Macaca mulatta: one gene and its partners. The protein of the gene in region 3 interacts with the protein of the main gene of each other region in a pairwise test. Links are inferred from orthologs where the notes say so. Each region holds a gene or a part of one and is shown on either strand. Other genes may lie near its edges. The genes, in order: GOLGA4, NEFM and TNIK.

Region 1 (4,430 bases), about 17 Mb from region 3:
AGTGCTGGGATTACAGGCGTGAGCCACGGTGCCTGGCCAGAAATGGGATTTTGCCATCTTGGCCAGGCTGGTCTTGAACTACTGAGCTCAAGTGATTCGAAGTGCTGGGATTACAGGTGTGAGGCCACCATACCAGGCCACATTTTTTGTTTCTAAGATCGTAACAATTCACAAGCAGGGAGAAAGATATATGGCAGGCAGAAAGGAAGGTTACAAAATAACTATCAAAAGTAGACCACGAATGGCCAGGCGCAGTGGCTCACGCCTGTAATCCCAGCATTTTGGGAGGCCGGGGCTGGCCAATCACCAGAGGTCAGGAGTTCAAGACCAGCCTGGCCAACACAGTGAATATACATATAATCCAAAAGGATTATTTTAAACCTTTTGTACACAAAGTGATTTTATTTGATCCAGATGCCCTGTTTCACCAGAAGCATTAAGCTATAGAAACAGAGCTCTTACATCTTAGCTTGTGACTAGCTTATTACTAAAAACAACCTCTTTGTTAATGAACAAAAACAACTCATTTTCATGAAAAGCTAAACGCTACAAATAAGAAAAAGCACACTCAGTAATTCACCAGCACCTTAAAGTATATTACTCTTAAACTAGTTTTACCATGTGTATATATAAATACACTTACATACAGATTCTTTTCCCCAAAACTGGGATCACATTTTACCTGCTGCTTCTGTCTTTTAACACAAATATCTTTCTGTGTTAATACTTTTCTGAAGTCTCTAACACTAGCTGCGTAACATCAGGCAAGTTACTTCACCTCTTTGAGCCTCACTCCTTCATCTATAGAGGAGGAATTATAGTATTATCTACCTCACAGGCTTATGTGAGATTAAATAAAATGATCTGTGTAAATACTAAGCAAAATGTCTGGTACATACTAAGGACACAGTAAATGCTGACTTTTTATGGCTGCATAGTAACCTATCAAGCAAAACTAACTACCTGATAAAATTTATTTAACCAATTCTCTATTGGTGGACATTTCTGGCTAGTTTTTAACCTATTAAAACAACATTGACATGAAAATCCATAGAGCTAAATCTTTAATACATCCTAAATTTTCTTAGAATAAATTTCTAGAAATGGAATCCTGGCTCAATTACATTTTATACACTCCCAAATGGAAGTGCCTTACATTCACTAACATGCCCATTTCCTCACATTCCTCATCTCCACCTCACTTTTAAAGTTTATCTTTGTTTCTTAATTAACAGTGTTTTGTAAAATTTTAAAAGACTGCAGTAAATGGTATGAAAAGGACAATCTTTACTACTTAAATTTTAACCACCATTTATACTTGAGAAATGAAGCAACCCTTCAGTGCTGTGTTCTGATGTTTTTCTCAAGCACTGTTTTACTACACATGAGCTTTAAATTTAAAAATAATAACTTCAATTTATAGTTTCCGAATAAACCTAATGCAATCGTTCTATGTTAAGAATTTGGAAATGCCTCCAAGTTAGTCAAAACTCAGCTTTTCTTGCAACCACAAGCAAAGACCAAAAACCCGAAAATTAAGGGACAGATCTGCTCAATCTGTTGCAATTCAAAAAGGCTGGGAAGAAATTAAGCAGAAACCATCATCTTCGCTGTTAAGACCCTGTGCTGCCAGCATCGAAACATCTCCAGTTAACGCTTAGGAAACTGTATCTTTAATACTACTAACACGCCTCCTTTCCCCTGGAAACGCATTTCCTAAAGCAACAGCATTCCTGAAAAACAAACATAACCCTGTCCGCAGAGCAACAAGACTCAAAAAGCAGAGCAGAGTTCTGGACAGGGAGAGTGTCTCCCCCTCCGCCCGCCAGTCCCGGATCAACCAAGTTATGCGAAGTGACTAACTCGTGACAGCCTCGGGCGCTGGACGCCGGCCACGCCGCCACCTCTTTCATGTCCCACCGCTCCTACCAGCAGCCTGACCCAGGATGGCTCTATTCCCCAGCCTTCAATCCCTAGACCTGGGTTTGGATTTAAGAGACTTCCGTCAAGGGTCAGTTGTGCGGGATCCTGGCCATTTCACACAAAATCTCACGATGGGCATGAGAGAGGGGGACACCTCGAGCAGAGATTAGATATCACAAGGGACCCGGGTTTTCCAACCCCGCCCTCATTCCCAGCGTGGGGTCTCAGATGGACGGGGGAACCTCAAATACGGATCAGAAATCAGGTAAGTTCGGAGTCTGGCCTTAAGGAAAAACTCTTAACGGAGATGGGACGTCACGAGGGATCCAGCCACCCCCATCCACTCATTACTGGATGGAGTTTTGCGATGGGAAAATCCAGGTCAGGAGTTACGGGCGACCTGCACCGCCCGGAGCTCCTTCTGGATCCGGAGTTTCGGAAGAGTCCAGGGTTAGGGGTCAAAGGTCACGGAAGAACGCCCCACTCCCCCCGCCTTTTTCGTCCGCGGGCTGGTTCAAGGGGTATCGGGAGCCAGGGGAGGAAAGCTGCGGCCATCGTACCTGACCAGGAGCCAGCGCCTGCTGGAGCTGCTGCTGCTCCTCGCTGATCTTTTGCTTCAGTTTCTTGAACATGGCGCAGCGTACGTAGGGTCCTGAGTGTCAATGAGACCTGAGGGGCGAGAGCCCGGGGAGTCCCGGCCGCGGCGGCTACGGCGACTTCTCTACACCAGGGACCGCGGGGACCCGGCCTCGCCGCCTCCTCCTTGAGCCTGCGGGCAAGTCCGGACACTCGTCCTGAGGATGTCGGCGTCGCCGCCGCCGCGTCTCTTTCTTCCGGGTGCCACTGGCTGGCCTCGGGCCCCCATCCAGCCCCGGGAGCCGCGGCGGCGACGACAACGGCAGCAGGTGAACTGTGCACCAAGGGCGCCTGCGCCGCCTACGTGGAGCTCTCCGAGGCTAACTACGGAGCACCGGAGGGGACAAGCACAATGTCGGGGCCTGCACATGCGCGCTCGGCCTGTCGCTCCCGAACTCACTGCACTGGAGGACACAAGGTTCGGGGCTGCCTGATTTCGTTGCGTGCGGCCCTCGCGGCTCAGAAATGGAGCGAGGGCTAGTCTGAACACCACACTGACTCTCACCTGGGCTTTGGCCCTGCGAAATCAGACGGGGAGAGTACTGCTTCTATTGATGGCAGCAGGGCCGACGGGCCCACTGCAAAGAACACAGGGATGAGCTTCCAGGATGGGAGAAGGGGAGATCCAGAGAACCTGACGCGGGCCCTAATTGATAGTGTACTTTTCTTTAGTAGCTGTAGCTAGGATTCTATGTCTTCGGTTCCAGAGGGGCCCGCTTCCCTTCCCGGAACTCTTCCAGCGTCGGGAAGTCCCTGATACCGGCCGCCAGGGGTCCAAATGTTTTATGCCAATACCGTAAAACCTCAACTGTTTGGACACCTGCTTTATTCTTTTCTTCACCGAAATCGTATATTTCACAAATTCATTCAGAAACCTTTATCAGGCCTTGGAGATTTCACAGCCTAGTGGAAGACACAGATTCCTAATGAGTCCAAATTTACTCCTAACACCTGCAGTCATCCTACAAGATTTTAATGTTTATGTGCCTCATTTATCCAAAACCCGAAGTTTGGCTGCCTGCGAATCCTCAGGTCCAATTTCAGCAACCCACTTTTGCATGCTGTACCTTTGGTATCATCTGAAACTGCTTACATTGAGGCATCAGAATCTAACAGTATATGCTGATCTCCACGTTTTAGCAAATTTTGTTTTCCAGCAATAATAGGGGGAAGCTGCTCTCGAGAGTCCATATTCTGATCCCTAAATGTATTAGAGCCAAAGTGGGGCCTGGAACACTGCCTTAACACCTGGGCTAAGTCCTCTTATATCTCATAGTGAACACCTTATGTAAGGGGTCCCCAGCCCCTGGGCCACAAACGAGTACCAGCCCATGGCCTGTTAGGAACCGGGCTACACAGCAAGAAGTGAATCTCTGGCACGCCAGGGAAGTTTAATCTGTATTTACAGCTGCTCCCCAAGGCTCATATTATCGTCCGAGCTCCACCTCCTGTCAGATCAGCTGTGGCGTGAGATTCTCATAGGAGCTGGAACTATTGTGAACTAGGCATGAGAGGGATCTAGGTTGTGTGCTCCTTATGAGAATCTAATGCCTGATGATCTGTCACTGTCTCCCATCACCCCCAGATGGGACCATCTAGTTGCAGGAAAACAAGCTCAGGGCTCCCACCGATTCTGCATTATGGTGAGTTGTATAATCATTTCATTATATATTACAATGCAATAATAATAGAAATAAAGTGCACAATAAATATAATGCATTTGAATTGTCCCAAACCATCCTTCCCCATCCCCCAGCCCCACCCCCAGGAAAAAATTGTTTTCCATGAAACAGGTCCCTGGTACCCAAAAGATTGGGGACCACTGCCTTATATAATTACTGAGTTTTTTTTCTGGGCTGTTTTGTTTTGTT
Region 2 (4,183 bases), on a different chromosome or scaffold from region 3:
TTCAAATTCTCCTTTCCAAGGAGTATTTGACCTTCACATTTCAGGCCCTGTATCTCTTCATCTCCTATACAATCATACGTTAGAAAACTCAAACTGGGCTGCAAGTACATATTTCTGTTAACTGACTTCAATGAATTTTGGTTGTTTTCAAAATCTGCAATCTGTTCATTGTGCCAGCCCTGCATTGCAGAGAAGTCTTAGCCTGCGATTCCAGCTTCGCTCCTGCAAAGAGAGTCACTACAGGCAGGTTTAAATTGTATTTGCTCGGAGAGAAGAGGGGGAAGGGAACCCCCTACCCCCCGCCAACCTGACAGGCCAGGCTGGGTGACAAGCCCCTGGGAGGCTGCACCTCCCGCTCGCCCGACCTGGGCGCTGTCCTTGGTGCTGCCGGCGCCATAGCGAGCACAAGCGCCTTACCTTCTGCCCCTGCGGAAGCTGCGGACGTCCCCCAAACGTTAAAAACGCAATATCCCACTTTTTATACAAAAAACTACCCTGGCCTGTTCTCTTTGTCCCCTTCCCGAAGCCTTCAGGCAGACGGTTCCTCAAAGTATTTTTTTTCTTTTCTTTTTGTCTTCTAGACCCAGCTCCTTGGCGCTCATCTCCAGCTGCTTTAAGACAGGAGTGGGGGAAGGGGAGGGAGGCAAGAAAAGATGAGGGTGGGGGAGGGGAGAAGAGGGAATGCAGGGGGAGGGGAAGCAAGAGACGGAGAGAAGGAAAGATTGGAAGAAAAGGGTCCGCGAGGAAGGGGCTGAGAGAAAGGCAGGGTGAAGCGAACTAAAGGCCGGAGCAGGAAGGAGAAGAGGGGCCAAAAAAGAAGGGGATGGGATTAAGCACAGAAGATGGGTAAAGAAAAAAGTATCGGGGAAAGGGTAAAAGAAGAGAAAGGCTTGAGGGTAAGAGGGTAGAGGGCTAAAGAACAAGGAGACCAGGGGGTCGGGGAAGCGCTGCCCGAACGGTGGGACAGTGACAGGCAAAGAAAGGGCGCTGGCGATATTTGTACCAAGGGTGCGAAACGCAATCGGGAAGTGAGAAATGGAGAGAAGGCGACTGCCCGGCGACAAGTGGCCTGGGACTGAAAGGGAACCTGGGGGAGGGGCTGGGCCCAGGGCAGCAAAGTCCGGGTTCCCATGCGGCCTGGGCCCACGTGGAGCGGGCGCTGAATCACCGCTCAGCCGCCCCCCTCCCCTCCTCCCCGACCGGTGCCCGCAGTCCCCGCCTCCTCGGCCGCCGCCTCCACGGGGCGGGGCCCTGGCCCGGGACCAGCGCCGCGGCTATAAATGGGCTGCGGCGAGGCCGGCAGAACGCTGTGACAGCCACACGCCCCAAGGCCTCCAAGATGAGCTACACATTGGACTCGCTGGGCAACCCGTCCGCCTACCGGCGGGTAACCGAGACCCGCTCCAGCTTCAGCCGCGTCAGCGGCTCCCCGTCCAGCGGCTTCCGCTCGCAGTCGTGGTCCCGCGGCTCGCCCAGCACCGTGTCTTCCTCCTACAAGCGCAGCATGCTCGCCCCGCGCCTCGCCTACAGCTCGGCCATGCTCAGCTCCGCCGAGAGCAGCCTTGACTTCAGCCAGTCCTCGTCCCTGCTCAACGGCGGCTCCGGACCCGGTGGCGACTACAAGCTGTCCCGCTCCAACGAGAAGGAGCAGCTGCAGGGGCTGAACGACCGCTTCGCCGGCTACATAGAGAAGGTGCACTACCTGGAGCAGCAGAATAAGGAGATTGAGGCGGAGATCCAGGCGCTGCGGCAGAAGCAGGCCTCGCACGCCCAGCTGGGCGACGCGTACGACCAGGAGATCCGCGAGCTGCGCGCTACGCTGGAGATGGTGAACCACGAGAAGGCTCAGGTGCAGCTGGACTCGGACCACCTGGAGGAAGACATCCACCGGCTCAAGGAGCGCTTCGAGGAGGAGGCGCGGCTGCGCGACGACACTGAGGCGGCCATCCGCGCGCTGCGCAAAGACATCGAGGAGGCGTCGCTGGTCAAGGTGGAGCTGGACAAGAAGGTGCAGTCGCTGCAGGATGAGGTGGCCTTCCTGCGGAGCAACCACGAGGAGGAGGTGGCCGACCTTCTGGCCCAGATCCAGGCATCACACATCACGGTGGAGCGCAAAGACTACCTGAAGACAGACATCTCTACGGCGCTGAAGGAAATCCGCTCCCAGCTCGAATGCCACTCCGACCAGAATATGCACCAGGCCGAAGAGTGGTTCAAATGCCGCTACGCCAAGCTCACCGAGGCGGCAGAGCAGAACAAGGAGGCCATCCGCTCCGCCAAGGAAGAGATCGCCGAGTACCGGCGCCAGTTGCAGTCCAAGAGCATCGAGCTAGAGTCGGTGCGCGGCACCAAGGAGTCCCTGGAGCGGCAGCTCAGCGACATCGAGGAGCGCCACAACCACGACCTCAGCAGCTACCAGGTAGGAACCGCGGCTGCGCGGCCAGCCTGCGCCAGCGCCAGCGCCGCGCGCCCCCGACACTTGGGCGCGTGCCCAGGAGCCCTCTCCGCCGCGCTCTCTGGCGGCCGCTCGCTAGAGCGCGCGCGCCGCAGACTTAGGGTAGTTTCGGATCAGCATTCTCGCCACTCTCATTCTCCATACTCCGCCCCCACCCACCTGCCCCAGCTGCTTAAAGGTCTTGACCTTTTTCAAAAACGTACTTCTTTTCCAGTTCTAATTTTGCACGCTTGCACGTTTAAAGCAGGAGGGATAAATTCGGTAGTGGATAAATCAGCAACTTTAGGATAGCTTATGCAGAAACCCGTGTATTCTCTACTTTTCCGGCAGTGATCGGAAGAGCTCTAAAAATTGGCTTCAGCCCAAAGGGCTCAGATGGGAATGGCCAGGTCAGCCATGGAGTTTCCCCATGCATGTTTGTGTCCTGTTGAGACGTGTTCTAAGTCCACTGATCTCCGTGCGTGATGTGCCCAGGAAGTGTCCTATTGTCTTACTGATCTTGTATGTTCCTTGAGAATCCCTTAGATTTAAAAGAAAAAGGGGGTGGGGGAGGGGGGCTGGGAGTCGGGTGTCAGCGAGGTTTGCAGAAGCGGATAGAGATGGGAGGAGGCGAGAGGGAAGGGGTAGCAAGTGGTTTGCGAAGGAAGTTGCTGTTTGCAAGGATGAGTCTAGGGAGACTCTCTGTGTCTGTTTCAGGACACCATCCAGCAGCTGGAAAATGAGCTTCGGGGCACAAAGTGGGAAATGGCTCGTCATTTGCGCGAATACCAGGACCTCCTCAACGTCAAGATGGCTCTGGATATAGAAATCGCTGCGTACAGGTACGGTGCTCACTACATGCGTATCCGGAATACTAACCACCATGCAGAGGCTGTTCGGGCAGAGCTTTCACCACTAAAGTTAAAGCAGGCAGGGTGCAGGCATCAACTCAGCGCCTGGTTTTCTTGCTTACTTAGAAAAAAATTATTCTAAAGAATTGCAAGTGTAGTTTTCTCTCTTTTTATGCAGCTTTAAAAGAATAAATACTAGTAGAAGCAAAAGATTTTTGAATTAGACGAAGGAGGTGCAGATTAATATCAATGCATATGCTTAAACTTTTTATGAAAAAATGTTTTCAAATGTTGGAAGCATGAACAGAGTTTTGGTTTCTAATATTTCATCTAGTGGTTTCAGCTTTTCAAATTTATAATGTCAAGGACAAACACCAGGACATTCTATTTCTCTGTTTCTCTGTTATACAGCTTACTATTGCCATCATCTGGCTGAGAATAGATATAGAATGATATATTAGAATATAGATACAGTTATTTTATATATGTAGATAATTTATATGTATTATATTTTATGCTAGACTATAGTATAAATTATATCTATATCATGTATAATATTAATCTAGATCTATAGATACATATATGTGCATATGCATATAAATCTAGATATACAGACACAAATGTGTATGATCTTTTTATAGATAGAGAGATACGTTATAGGTCTATTAACTGATGTGACCTTGCTGTTGACTAAGCGCAAAGGACAAAATCGTTGATTAAAAATTTTCTACTACCAATAAAGTAGTTATAATATAACAAGAATAAATTGCATTTACAGAGCTATCTCTCTTTTCAGGAAAGCTGAATAACTACATTAAATAGACAATTTATGGTAAAAATTATCGACCAATTTATAACTTGATACACCCATATTAACACCTGGCTAAGTTCTGAAATA
Region 3 (2,838 bases):
ACAGTCCATTAGGTCTGAGTCTGTTAAGTCATTTTATCAAACAACTGACAAACGCGAGAAAAATTTGGGTTACTGCTTGCTTGAGCTGAATGTTAAATATAAAAGACCCACTGTCCCAGGAAAGTAATATTTTGGGCTGTGGCCTAGCCCTTCAGTCAGCCAATACCTAACTTTGGTCCGAGGCATTTGCTTTTGTCACTAGTATAAAGTCTGCTACTTCATTTCTACAGCTTCTTCAGAAGAATGCTGTCTCTCAACAACTTCTTAGGAAGGTCTGTGGAAATGCTTGACATTCAGCTAATGCTACATATGAAAGTAATGCTACTCTTAGGGTCAATGAATCAAAACGGAGGACAGAGAGGGCCCATGGAAAACCACAATGAAGAAAAGAAAGGGCTGCTGTTCCCTCCAAGTTGTGTGCCCCTGGCTCTAAACTTTGGGTTCCAGACACTGGTGTGGTCCCAGCCTACTCCTAAGGGTGTGGCATGGCTTGGAGCAGGCCTGCTAGGGTAGGTTTTCAATTGGAGTGTGGGTATCCATACCCAGATTACTCCTAGTTTTTTGATTCTTAGAGACTAGGTAGGAGCTAGAGTTTTACTAGGTTAGGTTTGTTTTCTGGGAAACTCTAAATGGCTGGAACCATCTTTGCCAGCTGCAGCTACTGTCCACCCAGACCACATTAGGTCAGAGTAGTGGGCCAGGGTTGAATATAGTTTAGGCCCACATCACCAGGGTTGAACTAAGACCAACCTGATCTTTGAGGAACTGGGGTGGACAAAGGGATGTACAAAAATTCAACCCATCATACTGTTTTTCTATAGGTGTTTATGTCTGTGGCTTTGGGGACAGCATTTCTATGTTGGCCACAGCCACAAAGGATGAATTCACAAATGCAATACGGCTTAGCTACTAAAACCTCAGGGTTACTCTATAGGGAGGGTAAGGGAGAAGCAGTACTGCTGCAGAATACTCCTCTGAGGTGACTGATCATGCCAGACGGACACAGCTAATTTCACTGGAAAACAGTTCACCTATGACATTTCAGAAGAAACATGGCTGGAATGACACAAGACATGGCACTAGTTGAGTTTGTGATTGTGAGTTCCTTAAGGAATGGGTGACATTTTAAAAAAGCTTATATTTCTACATGTCAAATGTTTTGGATTTAAAGGTGAATATAAGGTGATTGGTTAGGTCTTGAAAGTGACTTTGTGAAAAGTCTAAAAGTGGAAGTATAAAGTTGACCCACTGTGAGATGATTAATGATGGGCCAACTGCTCTAAGTGCTTAGGAGAATTTGTGGTGTCTGCTGAGTCATCATAAGGCCTTCAAGCCACAAAAATTTCTAAGAAGTTTACAAGAAATTTCTAGATGTTTTTATGTAGTTTTTGACATGTGAATAATATATTGAGTGTTCACATGGATCAAACCAAATAATGCCATTTCAAGATAATATTGATTGTTTAACACAGATGTGATTCAAATCAGTATAAAGGAAAATGAAGGTTTCACAGGTACCTGGTGGTCTCTTAAAATGCAAACACTAATGCAAATGTTGAAACGGATTTACCTTATCATTTCTTTCACATAGAAACTTTAACCTTTGAGCTCGCTTATGCATAAATACTCCATCCAAATGTCCTGTTTCCACTGACCGGATCTCAATAGCTTTCTCGCCCCAGCCCATTATCTGATTGGAATGAATGTAGGCTGTCAAAAGGAATTTCCAAAACTGCATTAAAAACATTAGATGGGCAATAACTCACAGCATCTGTTCACATCTTAACCACAAAAATGACAAACGACTTGAGATAAATGGACAAAGCAAGTCTTACAAGAGTTATTCACAGACTGTTTTTTTTTTTTTTTTTTTTTGGTGTGGAATCAAATGGTTGTTTCACATTTCTTGGTTTTCGTTTCATTTGGGGGGTGTAACTGCTGAAGGAGATAAGGAATGGTTAACCTACCCACAGACGTGGGCATTTCTCCCCATTGGAGCACCACATCCTTAGTTATCCGGCCATAGGTGTTTACATACACCCCCTCATCCTCATAGCAAACAAGCATTTCCATTCCATCTGTTTTAGGCAAGATGACAATAGCATGAGGAGTGATATTGCCCTGAATCTAGAAGACAAAGAAAGGCCAAGCATTATTCTTTTAAAAAATAAAACAACACTTTGACTATTCATCTCTAAGAACTGCAAAAAAGAGGTTTTTGTTTATTTTCATTGTCACCCTAAAGACTGAAATTTGCTTTAATTTAACCACTGACTTGTAAAATACCCTGGCAAATCAAACTTAGTCACTAGATTAAAAATTCAATTTATCTGTTCCTAAAAACAGCATGTAAATCTATGACACACCTACTATGTGCCAATCATGGGGCCCTTTACATATATAATTTCTAGCACCCAGAATAGCTCCCCAACGTAGATAGCTTTTTTACAGATGAGGAAACTGCATCTCAGAAGGGCTTTGTGTCTTGACCAAAGCTGTGCTAGTATTTGTTAGTAGAGTTGGGATTTGTGTACATCTTGCTGACATTGAAATTAATGTGTTTTCTATTAGCACAACTACTTCCAAAAAAAGATGAGGAGAATGTAAGCCAGCTGAATCTAATGGAGATGGCTTAAGTGGGGTCAAATGAACTCCTATCAAAATAATCTGTGAAAAAAAAAATAGGATTGTTTATCTGGGTGTCCAAATGGCAGAATAATTCATGGCTTGGTTAGAAAAAATATTTAGAATTACCAGTCATTTAAAAAAATCACTATTGCTGCGCACAGTGGCTCATGCCTGTAATCCCAGCACTTTGGGAGGCCAAGATGGGCAGAT

What was found.
Region 1: the proteins of TNIK (region 3) and GOLGA4 interact in a two-hybrid assay, tested with the Homo sapiens proteins (2 studies listed by BioGRID and IntAct). The link is inferred for Macaca mulatta from reciprocal best matches to the Homo sapiens genes TNIK and GOLGA4.
Region 2: the proteins of TNIK (region 3) and NEFM interact in a two-hybrid assay, tested with the Homo sapiens proteins (2 studies listed by BioGRID and IntAct). The link is inferred for Macaca mulatta from reciprocal best matches to the Homo sapiens genes TNIK and NEFM.

Annotation. Positions count from the first base shown.
Region 1 is NC_133407.1:99,501,256-99,505,685, reverse strand, and holds the start of GOLGA4 (golgin subfamily A member 4), read right to left. Parts: upstream 2,838-4,430; 5' UTR 2,556-2,837; coding exon 2,484-2,555; intron 1-2,483. UniProt on the Homo sapiens protein: Involved in vesicular trafficking at the Golgi apparatus level. May play a role in delivery of transport vesicles containing GPI-linked proteins from the trans-Golgi network through its interaction with MACF1. Involved in endosome-to-Golgi trafficking.
Region 2 is NC_133413.1:26,649,339-26,653,521, forward strand, and holds the start of NEFM (neurofilament medium polypeptide), read left to right. Parts: upstream 1-1,306; 5' UTR 1,307-1,339; coding exon 1,340-2,419; intron 2,420-3,151; coding exon 3,152-3,276; intron 3,277-4,183. UniProt on the Homo sapiens protein: Neurofilaments usually contain three intermediate filament proteins: NEFL, NEFM, and NEFH which are involved in the maintenance of neuronal caliber.
Region 3 is NC_133407.1:82,741,487-82,744,324, forward strand, and holds part of TNIK (TRAF2 and NCK-interacting protein kinase), read right to left. Parts: intron 2,128-2,838; coding exon 1,968-2,127; coding exon of another isoform or gene 1,885-1,967; exon of another isoform or gene 1,783-1,884; intron 1,711-1,782; coding exon 1,571-1,710; intron 1-1,570. UniProt on the Homo sapiens protein: Serine/threonine kinase that acts as an essential activator of the Wnt signaling pathway. Recruited to promoters of Wnt target genes and required to activate their expression. May act by phosphorylating TCF4/TCF7L2.